Linked DNA regions of Rattus norvegicus. The protein of the gene in region 1 interacts with the protein of each later gene in a pairwise test. Links are inferred from orthologs where the notes say so. Each region holds a gene or a part of one and is shown on either strand. Other genes may lie near its edges. The genes, in order: Tle1, Foxa2 and Hes6.

Region 1 (3,745 bases):
ACCCACCCCTTAACATGTGGTTACCGAGGACAAAGCCGGTACAGTGAAAGCCTACAAACTGATTTCGAAGCTTAAGATTTAGCTATAGCTTACCTGTTTATGCATTTCAATGTTTAATCCATATGACATTTCATAATACTGTAAAGAGAAGAACCAGGCATGCCGTTAACTCACGGTTGTGGGAAGGACACACACCATTACAGAAAGAGAAAAGGTCCTCCTCGCTTTGATACCTACCATCACGTAGTGTCTCTGCATTTCTGTCTTTTCACTTGCCAATTTCTCACACTCCAATTTAAGACTATGAAAACAAAACAGGCAGCTTAAGGTAAACATTATGTCACTTGTTTTAACATCTGCCTCCCATATTTGCACTTCAAGCAAAAACAATTTAGAAAAGTTGTAAGCTGGGCATACTTCCTAAAAGCTGTCTTTGTATTCCATGCTGGAAAAGGTGAACAACGGGGAATATCCACCAACTACTGTCCTTTTTTGTTCGTGGGGCACACGTCCCGTAGAGAGGCCAAGAACGGAAACACAGATCTCTCAGCTGTCCTCCCCTCTCTTGACCGCACCAAAGTCTGTCCTTTGCACAACCCCCATTCTCCAGCAAAGACAGTCTTCAGGTCTGAAAACTTTACTGGTAAGTAAAGTTACTCCTCTCAGTGACTAGTGCCTTTCAAAACCTTTTGAATCCCTGCCAAGACATGACAAGCAGCTACAGCAAACGAAGTGGGTTGAAGTTCTTCTGTCCCTGTTCAGTAAACAGTGTGTGCAAGTATGCCTCAAGTTCTGGAGATACGGTATAAAAGTAGATAAAAGGTCAAAAATCAGAGTCCCTGACTAACTTTAGAAAATTCACACCCAAGCCACCAAGCTTCTCCTTGGTCCTTTTTCTCAAGCATGATAAAAGTAAAAATCTTCGAAGAAACTGCTTTGCGCCAATTAGTCAAAACCTCATAGTAGAAAAATAAGTAGCTTTTCTGGACTATTCACTACAGATGGGGCTTTTAGCTATAATTTCCACTAACCAATCCAAAGAAGAAGGTATGATTACATAAAGAACCCAGAACAGAGGTGAATGTGATTCTAGTTCCCTAGTCTATCCAAACACCCCAGAGTGTGGGCCACGCATAACTACATCTTACCACCTAATCACCCTTGATGGGCACAGCTAAACCCATCTAGCCTTCCCTAATGGACTTTGTCTCAGGCAACCCAATTTTCTAGTATGGCAAACAGCGATTGCAACACGGCTTTGCTTTCCTGAACGCACATTCTAGGACTGAGCCATTGATTGAACCCATGTTTCAGTTCAGCCTGTTGCAAAACAAATAAACGAAGCGCAAATATTGACGGTTCTCATGCAACTCCAAAATACACGAAAAGGGACTCCCTGGAACTGCCACAAATGCGCAAAGGGGAAACAATGGGAGGAGGAGGAGACAACAGAAGGGACGGCCCAGGAAGAGCGACGAAAGGGGGGTAATGTGAATGACAGGACTTAACTGTGACTCCACACGCCACCGCCTGGACACAAGCCCTAAGTACAACAGCCCTAGCAGCCTGGCCTGTGTGAGAAGAGACCCCCCAAGTGACCACCACCCGAGCAGGTCGACACGCACCTGTGATACTGCGCCTGCAGGAACTGGAATTCCTCTTTAATCCGGTCCAGGGACTCCGGGATAGTGAACTTAAAGGGCTGGCCTGCAGCCTGGTGCGGCGTCTGCAGGTGACCAGCAAGGGTAACCAAGGGAGGAGATATGAGGATGAGGGCATAAAGCAGAAAAGTCAGAAGAGGGAGAAGCAGATGGGACATAAACAAAAAATAAATAAATAAATAAATAAATAAATAAATAAATAAATAAAGTTAGAGGTGGTGGAAAACGGAGGCCCAAACTCGAGCCCTCGGTTCACTTTAGTGAGGGAGAAAGCAGATCTTCCTGGGACCCTGATTTCTCAGGAGGTTCAGAAATAAGTCTGCCTCCAGTGTGGACAGTGTGTGCCCAGTGCTCTGGGGTCACCCGGCCCGGAGGAGGCTGAGAAGGACCAAGTCAGAGCTCCACTGTCCCGGCTGCCCCTCCCCAACCGGTGCGAGAAAGACCCAGGATCTGGAGATGAAATGCCAACTCCCTCTCGGCCCCTAGTCCCGGAGTGACCGGGCCGCACTGACTACAAGTAAACAGGCAAGACGAGGGCAAAGCAGGGATCACTCCTGCCTCGGGATAAGCGGGCAGTGACTACGCGACGCCCGTCCGCCCGTCTGCCCGTCTAGACATCCAGTAGGAGGGGGGGCGGGCAAGGGAAAATGGGGCTTCCTGGGCTCCCGCGCGGGGCAAGGTCCCACCCGCGCCGACGACTCACTGGGTGCCGGCTCTGAGGGAACATCGCTCTGGCAGCAGCCGCGGCTCTGTTCCGGGATAGCTCTATCCTCCGCGCCACTTCCAACTTGAATTCCACCGAGGAACGCGAAGCAGCGCAGCAGGCCGGCGCACGGGGCGCTCGGGATGCAAGGCCAGGGCGCGACGGGTGCGGCCCCCGCCCTCAGGGCCACATTGCGGGCGGCTCGGCCCCGCGCCTGGGAGTCTGAGCAGCGGGGGCGCCCGGACCTACCGCGGCCCTCCACCCGGTGCCCGGGGTGCGCTCCCTTCGGTGGCTCACGGATGCAGGGGGGCTGTGTGTCTCCTCCCTGCGTCGGCGGCTGTGCAGGTGGCGCCTTGGCTAAAACCCACGTAGACAGCCAGAGGCGAGCGCCGCTTCTCGGGTCGGGAGGTCACCCGCTCCCACGACGGTGTGCTCCGGGTTACCCCCGGCTCGTCGACCGGCGTTGCAGAGTCTCCGGCGCGGCTTGAAGCTGCGGAGCCCAAGCAGGGTCCAGGCAGGGTCACGCCAGTATGCGCTCTTCCTCCAGTCCACGGCTACTGCTCGCGGTGCAGCTCTTTGGCCGCCCGCCGCGCCCCTGCCCCGGGCATCAGGCCGCCGGGCGCTTTACCCGGCTCTAACACTCCTAGAGCCTGCCTTCCCCTCCTCGGCTCTAAGCAAAGGGCTGACCAGCTCCAGCCGGCGCAAAGTTCTCTCACGACCCGGAGGCAAACGTCCGCGCGACGGAGAGCACGCTGCCGCTCTGCCTCCCTCCACAGAGGGCCACGTCGAAGGCGAGTCCCGGCTCCTGCCCCGGGACGCGGGGTCCCCGCCGCTGCTCCTGCCGCCGCCCGCGCCTCTTGCGCCGCTTACATTAACACGCGGTTTCACACTCGCTAGCAAACCAGCACCCCGCCCGAGCAGTGTGGCGGGGGCTGCAAGCACCCAGGCGGCCACGGACGTGGGCGGAGCCGCAGCCGCTCGGCCAACCACGTGCGCCGCTCCAACGTGGGTTACTGACGCATGCCGGCCACAGCCTGTGTTGGCCTTCGCTCCGCCCACCTCGCGCGGCCTCTGTGCCTTGTTTCCCCGCCCACCCGCCGGTGCCCCTCCTCCGCCAGCGCGTCCTGTGCGCTCTGAGTGCCGCGGCGCCCGAGGAGCTGCGGGGCACCCACGCCAGCCAATGGGGAGCGGCTAGACGCCGAGATTGGCAAGCCGCTTCCGAAGGTCGGTGGGAAGGAGAGCGGCGGGCCGGGCTGTCAATCAAAGTAACGTGGGGCGAGTTAGGGAGCGCGCCAGTGCGCGCGAGCCGAGCGACCTGCGCGCGGCAGGCAAGAAAAAGCAGGGGGCTGAAGTTTGCAGAAGCCTGCGGCTCGCTCTGCTT
Region 2 (3,745 bases), on another chromosome or scaffold:
AGAGAGAACAAGAACAAAAATCAAAATCTGCAGGTGCCTTGAGAAGCAGTAGTCTACATAGTGGGAACCAAAGGCTCCATTAAAACAAGTTTATGTGTATACATATATATTTCCATTCCCTTCCCTATTTAGAATGACAGATCAGTGTGGCCCAGCTATTTAGGGACACAGACAGGTGAAACTGCTCCTTTGGGGCCTTAAGTGTGGTGGCTACTTTTTCCTCAAAGTTCCCCCAATGTTTCCACTCAGCCTGTCATTTCCCTTGTCCTTCTCCCCAGTGGCCAGAGCTAGGCAGGGCCTGAAAGCCATCTTCTTAGGACGAGTTCATAATAGGCCTGGAGTACACTCCCTGGTAGTAGGAAGTGTCTGCAGCCAGGGGCGAGGCATCCAGGCCGGCTTTGTTCGTGACTGGGCCCATGGCCAAGCTGCCTGGCATGGGGGAACCGTAGCCCCCAGGGTAGTGCATGACCTGTTCGTAGGTCTTGAGGTCCATTTTGTGGGGCTGATGGTGGTGGTGGCTGTGATGATGTTGCTGCTCGGAGGACATGAGGTTGTTGATAGAGAAGGGGTGGTTGAAGGCGTAATGGTGCTCGGGCTTCAGGTGGGCCTCTGGTGGCAGGCCAGGATGGTGAGGTGGGACCAGCAGGTGGGCTGCAGCCTGCTGCTGCTGCCCAGGCGAGGGCGCCGGCTCCGGAGGACTCAGCGCAGAGGCAGGTGTTCCCTTCAGCTCGCTCAGGCCACCTCGCTTGTGCTCCTGACACGGAGAAGCGCTGGAATGGGGGGACTCGGTGCCCGCCGGAGTCTCAGAGGCCGAGCCTGCGGCCTCCCCGAGCTGAACCTGAGAAGCCTGTGTCCCAGGAGCGGTCTTCTTGCCTCCGCCACTGCCCGCACCCGCTGCTTCCTTCAACGCCAGTTGCTTCTCACACTTGAAGCGCTTCTGGCGGCGCAGGTAGCAACCGTTCTCGAACATGTTGCCAGAGTCAGGGTGCAGGGTCCAGAAGGAGCCCTTGCCAGGCTTGTCTGGCGAGCGGGGCACCTTGAGAAAGCAGTCGTTGAAGGAGAGAGAATGACGGATGGAGTTCTGCCAGCGCTGCTGGTTCTGCCGGTAGAAAGGGAAGAGGTCCATGATCCACTGATAGATCTCGCTCAGCGTCAGCATCTTGTTGGGGCTCTGCTGGATGGCCATGGTGATGAGCGAGATGTACGAGTAGGGAGGCTTGGCGTGAGTGTAGCTGCGCCGGTACGTCTTGGGGTCCCGAGCGCGGCTCAGGCCCGCCTGCCCGTACATAGGACTCATGGAGTTCATATTGGCGTAGGGAGCAAGGCCACCCATAGCCCCGGCCGCCTGTCCCCCGAGTGGGCTCAGACTCGGACTCAGGTGCGGTCCCATGCCCGCCACGCCGGCCGCCCCAGCTGAGCCGCTCATGCCCGCCATGGCGCCCGCGCCCGGGGACATGCCAGCCAGCGACGGGCTCATTCCAGCGCCCACATAGGATGACATGTTCATGGAGCCTGCGCTCATGTTGCCGGAACCACTGCCCATTGCAGCCGCGGACATGCTCATGTAAGTGTTCATGCCATTCATCCCCAGGCTGGCGTTCATGTTGCTCACGGAAGAGTAGCCCTGCGGACAGAGCCCGGGGAGGAGACAGGTTAGCACCTAGGCTGAGCTCGCCCGATCCTCTCACCCATAGGTTGCACCCAGTCCCCCGCCTTCGTGCAGGCCTCCGGGATCTCTTTCTTTCCCTGGGTCCCAGTGCACCAACACCAAGTCCTCTGGGCCTCAGAGAGTCCTGGAAAGGTGGTAGCCCGAGGGCCAGCGGGTTGCCGTTCTGGGTCTGAGGCTCAGCCTCGCCCTCATTCTAGAACTTTGGAGTCCTGGATCGCCAACAAGTCAGGAGCCTCAAATCCATTTTACTCTCCCTAGGGGCTCCTCACACCAGCTGGCTAGCACACTGAGTCAGCACCAAGGCCGGAAATCTCCGTTGCTACCCCTGGTCGCCAAAAGCCACCCTTGGAACGTCACTAGGGCAGTCTCAAGTGGAAATCATCTCAGTGTCCCTGTTCTGGGGCTTCATACTGGGACCCGACTCTTTAGTTACAGGGGAGTGAAGCGCAGTGCCTGCACAGAGTCCGGGAGCAGCTGGAGGCACTGCGTGGAGGAATAAGGAAGGTACGGCCAACTCGGCTAGGAACTGTTAGTGTCCCGGCTTCGTGGCGACAAACTTTTTTCTCTTTGTCCACTAGTCTTTGATTCTTTGCCTGCACCTCTGTCCCCAACTCCTACCCACCTTCTCTTCTCCAGCTCCCCACCCCCTCACCAGCCGACCTCCCACCCCTCCCCAGCCGCGCGCTGCCAAACATAACTCTGTTAGGATAGTGCGTGGCTCGGCCACGAAGAGGATTTGGAGGCGCCGCAAGTCAATATTTGATCACAAAGTTAATATTATCTCAAGGCTAACAGTGTGTCGTATAAAAAAGAGACCCATTTGAGTAGAAGGAGGGCGGAAAAGGCGGCTGTCCAGGAAGGCTAGAGGTGGGGGGGGGCGGGTACCGGTGAAGGGAGCGTGCGGAGGCTGGGGACGCGGAGATAGCTGTCACCCCACTTCTCCCTGGCGAAGGCAAGAGCTTACCTCAGGCTCCGCGTAGTAGCTGCTCCAGTCGGATGGCTCGTGCCCTTCCATCTTCACGGCTCCCAGCATACTGGAAGCCGAGTGCATGGCGGTTTAAAATTTAACAGCCACAACAAACGACCAGCAATCAGCCCCCACCCCCACCCTCTTAAAAAAAAAAAAAGTCAGCTATGGCACCGTCCCCTCCCTCCCGCCCTCTCTCGCGCTCCCCCTCTCTGCCTCTCTGGGCTCCACTTCCTCTCTCTCCCGCGGCCTGCCGCGGGAGGTAGCTGGGAGTGGGCGGGAAGGTGGCTGGCGGAGGAGGGGGCCGAAGAACCCTGGAGGCCGGAACCCGAGGCTCGCCGTCGGGCGTGCACTCCGTCTCCGCGCTCCCGGGGCTGCCGGTGCAGGCTGAGGCTGGCAGTGTAGAGGTGCCGGGAGGCGGCGGGAAGCTAGCGGCGCGGGGGCGGGCGGGGGGAGAGCGAGAGGAGGGGGAGGAGGAGGAGGAGGAGGAGGAGGTGTGGACCTCGCAGCGGACAAGTGCCGCAATGACGTGAGCGGCTGGTGATATAGCGCGGTGCGCTGGCGCGGGCCTCCAATCCCCAGACCCCGGGCAGCCCATTTGAATAATCAGCTCACACTTAGGTGAGAGGAAGCCAGGGCTAGCGCTCCGCACCTGCCGCTGGGCGCCCCGAGCTAGCCCATCTCCCGCTGTCCCCTGCTCTCCCAAGACCTGGACCTGCAAGCAGGCGCGCTGGCGCCCTGGTGGAGTCCCTTCCTTTGCGTCCACGGGGAGTCTTCCGTGGACCCAGAGATCTGGGATCGGGCCACCCTTGGAGAAACTCAGGTCTCCTGCTCCCGCCCCGCCCCTCCTCATCGCCTGGAGCACCGGGTTCGTCAATCCGAAGGCGCGTACCGCCTTGGTGCCCAGCGAAGCCTAGGCAAGCCAGATTTATTTATCTCGGGTTTCCTCCCTTTCGGTGCACATTCCCTGTCAAAACAACAAGCAGGTGACAGCCAATTTGCAAAGCGCTTTCCTATTTAGAAAAACTGTGTACACACCTTTAACTCGCTGGCCGCTGCTCCAGAGGCCCCTCCCCGTTACAGTTAAGTCCCAGGGAGGCCTCAGAAGG
Region 3 (3,339 bases), on another chromosome or scaffold:
CAGTGGCACCAGGGGAAATGCCTACCAAGAAAAGTGACAAGTGGGTCCACCAGTTGGCTCAGCTAATAAAAAGGCTTCCCAAACAACCTGAGGACCCAAGTTTGATCGTGGAAAACCAACCCCCAAGTTATCCTCTGACTTTCTTATATACGCCTATACGCGCATACAATATTTTTAAAAAGGAAAAAAAATGGCATCCTGAGAAAGATTGACATCTGCACCACACTCATGAACCTGAGGCCAAGCCTTTGAGAGACACTTCCAAGGCAAAGAGCTAGTAACTAGTCACCAATGGTAGTCCTGGGAGCTCAGGAGAGAACAGTACAAGGACAGGCCATCTCCCTGTGGCTTAGTTACCCTGGAGACAAACCCCATGCTAGTGGAATCGTCTGGACACATACTCCAGGCCAAGTGGGAGAGCCCAGAGGACCGGGCCAGCAGGTGGGGCCACACGAATGCACTTAGTGTTGGATGCAGTTGAACAGTCACACATCTGACACAACAACGGCACACCAGGGGCGACTAACTCCAGAGTTCTTTATTTAATTGGAACATCCGACGGCAACCACATTCACACACACAACTGTTACAAACAGGGAGCACCTCTCAGTGACTGCGGAATATGCTTGCCTCTCCTGGTCTCCTAGCCAGAGTAGCAAATCTGAACTTCTATTCAGGTCAGGACTGCTATGGCCTGTGTGTCCCTGCCCAGGACACTCATGCTCAGCCTCAAGATTGGCCACTTCTGCCCTAGATCCTAGGGAAAGGTGAACATGAGGGAGTCCTGGTAGCACTACAGGAGTCTCCCTTCTTTCTGTAGTGTCCTCCCCCACCCCCACCCTGGCCCCCATCCAGAGCTCTAGGGTCCATGAAATTGATTCCCTCACAAAATAGTGCTAGGGACCTGCAGGGGCTGGTCATCAGGGTTACCATACAAGCCATCCATTCATTGGACAGTGGGGAAGGCATATCTGGGGGTTATCCTGGGCTATCTCCACCTCATCTGATAGCCAAGAAGGAAGCAAACTTAAGGATGGCAGCCCACCCACCATTCACAGGTCCCTGGTAAGTGTTGGTCACCAAGGTCTCCACACACTCTGGGCCCGGCGAGCTGTGGTCAGGATGCCTAAGGATGTGGGCACCAAATCTGGCCCCTCGGCAGGCACCCGGTTTAGTTCAGCCTCCGGGATCTCCTCTAGGTCAGAACACAGGTCGTCCCCGGGACCTGGGGGACTGGACAATGGGGACTCTGGGGACCCTCCTGGAGGCCAGCTGCTCCTCCCAGAGCCTCCGGGCAGCCCAGCTAGGGAGTCCCCCAGCAGATCCCGAAAGCTGCTACCCTCGCGCAGCGGCATGGACTCTAGCAGGTGGTTCAGGAGTTCAGCTGAGACAGTGGCATCGATGGCTTGGCACGTGGACACGAACGTGTGCACCTCATGCATGCATTGGATGTAGCCAGCAGCGAAGCGCTCGCTTGCTTCAGCCTGCAGCTGCTCCCGCTCTGTGCAGGAGGGTGGGAAGAAGAGAGCGGCATCCCGCACAGTGAGCAGTGACTACTGTGGTTCTGACGATCCGCTCCGCGGGTTCGGGGCTCACCCAGGAGACGCATTAACGTGTCCTGCTCTGGGGGGAGCCCTCACCATGTACAGGACCGAGGCTCCGGGAGCCGACGTGTCCGGCTCTTGGATGGCAGGCATGCCCGGTCAGCGCCCCCGCCCTCGATCCCCGCCGCCACTCACCGCGAGCCCGGCCTCGCAGAGCGCCCTGCACGCGTCGCACGGTCAGCTCCAGCACCTCGGCGTTCTCTAGCTTGGCCTGCACCTGCGCAGAGGGTAAAGGAGTTGAGTTCGGCTGTGTCCGGGGCGCACCCTGAAGACCCCCCCGCACTCTTTCCGCCGCACCTCGGTGCCCGCTAGCAGCAGCCGCAACTCCTGAAGACTCTCGTTGATCCGCGCGCGTCGCTTCTTCTCCACCAGGGGCTTCCGGGCCTGTGGGAAACGGCTACTGAGCCCCTGGCCCGTGCAGCCTCCCGCAGGCCCATCCACCCGCAGCCCCTGTCCGCACCTTGCGGTCCCCCCGTGCTTCCCAACGGTCCTCATCCTCCTGGCCTGCACGGTCCCTGTTGGGCGCCTGGGGCGGAGCCATGGTCCACAGCGCCCGGAGCCCGGCGCCCAGCGCCTTAGTGCAAACCCCTCTGCGAGGTAGGTCGCAGCCCAGAGGCCTCACTAGCTATCCCCAGTCTTCCGCCCCGTGGGGCCCCGCCCCTTTTATAGCAACTTATTTACATATCAATGCACCGATTGGCTGTGTGTGATCGGAGCGGCCAGCGCGAGGCAGCCTACAGCCAATGAGAGCCGCGCGCTTTGTTAGGCTCCGGGGGGTGTGAGGGGGGCTCTGGCAGCTGGCGGGGCGGAGCCCACAGTCCGACCTCCTGCCACTTACTCAGGGGTTGGACTCCTGGGCAGTGACCTCCGGCTACTCTCCTGCTGGTGTGCTTGTACTTCCCTCCGCCGAGTTTTGAGCCCCAATCTTCCAACCTGTAAGCCCGGGGTTAGCTATACATTCTTCGGTCCGTACATCTATCCATTCCTCCCTTTCACCCACCCCTTCACCCATCCATCCTTATGGCGCATTTGCTTCCCCTGGTTCACCAAAAGTGCTCTCCAGAAAAGCGCTCCAGTCCCAGAGCCGGTTTCAGTCAGGGCATTGCCAAAGTCAAGTCCATGCCCTCGGGACCTGGAAGGAGCTTCGGGTCACGGGTGGTGAGAGTGCAAAGTCCAGGGAAAGTGGGGGCCATTTTAGCAGCAGGACCAGGATCCTAGTGTGGTTTTTGAACTCATGAGGACACCTATAACTTTCTTACTCCAAGGTCCTCGGTCGTTCTTACTGAACCTCTCTTTCTCTGTGTTCTAAGTCACACAACCACTACCTTGTCTATTCTAGCTCCACCCCCGACCGCCCCCTTCCCCCAAGCTTCTCCTTCCTAGTTCATCACCACGTACCCGCCTAAGCTCCTCTTATTCCCCTCTAGTCCCTCCGCACCCCCATCCAGTGGTCTCACATATCCCTGTCCCTCAAGCCCACGCTCACATCCCTTCCCCGCGAGTCCCCTTAGTGTCCCCCACCCCCACTCAGCTCCTCCCCCTTCCATCCTTGGTTCCTGCAGGCCAAGGCTGCCGTCTGGCCCCGGTAACTTGATGCCCGTGACAGTTGGCAGCTGCAGCCGCTTCGGCAGAGAAAAGCGGCAGCCCGGCCAGGAGCGACAGGTGTTGGCCGCGCCTTTGTCTCGCTGGCTTTGTCCCGCAGGCTGCAACAGGCACGCCTGTGTCCGCCAGACGC

Evidence for each region.
Region 2: the proteins of Tle1 (region 1) and Foxa2 interact in a two-hybrid assay, tested with the Homo sapiens proteins (2 studies listed by BioGRID and IntAct). The link is inferred for Rattus norvegicus from reciprocal best matches to the Homo sapiens genes TLE1 and FOXA2.
Region 3: the proteins of Tle1 (region 1) and Hes6 interact in binary tests that used the Homo sapiens proteins (3 or more experiments, as listed by UniProt). The link is inferred for Rattus norvegicus from reciprocal best matches to the Homo sapiens genes TLE1 and HES6.

What each region holds. Positions count from the first base shown.
Region 1 is NC_086023.1:90,978,431-90,982,175, forward strand, and holds the start of Tle1 (transducin-like enhancer protein 1), read right to left. Parts: upstream 2,499-3,745; 5' UTR 2,389-2,498; coding exon 2,365-2,388; intron 1,727-2,364; coding exon 1,626-1,726; intron 308-1,625; exon of another isoform or gene 302-307; coding exon 238-301; intron 139-237; coding exon 94-138; intron 1-93. UniProt on the Homo sapiens protein: Transcriptional corepressor that binds to a number of transcription factors. Inhibits NF-kappa-B-regulated gene expression. Inhibits the transcriptional activation mediated by FOXA2, and by CTNNB1 and TCF family members in Wnt signaling.
Region 2 is NC_086021.1:155,923,647-155,927,391, forward strand, and holds the start of Foxa2 (hepatocyte nuclear factor 3-beta), read right to left. Parts: upstream 2,843-3,745; 5' UTR 2,721-2,842; coding exon 2,634-2,720; intron 2,174-2,633; exon of another isoform or gene 1,625-2,173; coding exon 314-1,624; 3' UTR 1-313. UniProt on the Homo sapiens protein: Transcription factor that is involved in embryonic development, establishment of tissue-specific gene expression and regulation of gene expression in differentiated tissues.
Region 3 is NC_086027.1:99,448,855-99,452,193, forward strand, and holds Hes6 (transcription cofactor HES-6), read right to left. Parts: upstream 2,243-3,339; 5' UTR 2,146-2,242; coding exon 2,065-2,145; coding exon of another isoform or gene 1,989-2,064; coding exon 1,902-1,988; intron 1,822-1,901; coding exon 1,740-1,821; intron 1,502-1,739; coding exon 1,077-1,501; 3' UTR 529-1,076; downstream 1-528. UniProt on the Homo sapiens protein: Does not bind DNA itself but suppresses both HES1-mediated N box-dependent transcriptional repression and binding of HES1 to E box sequences.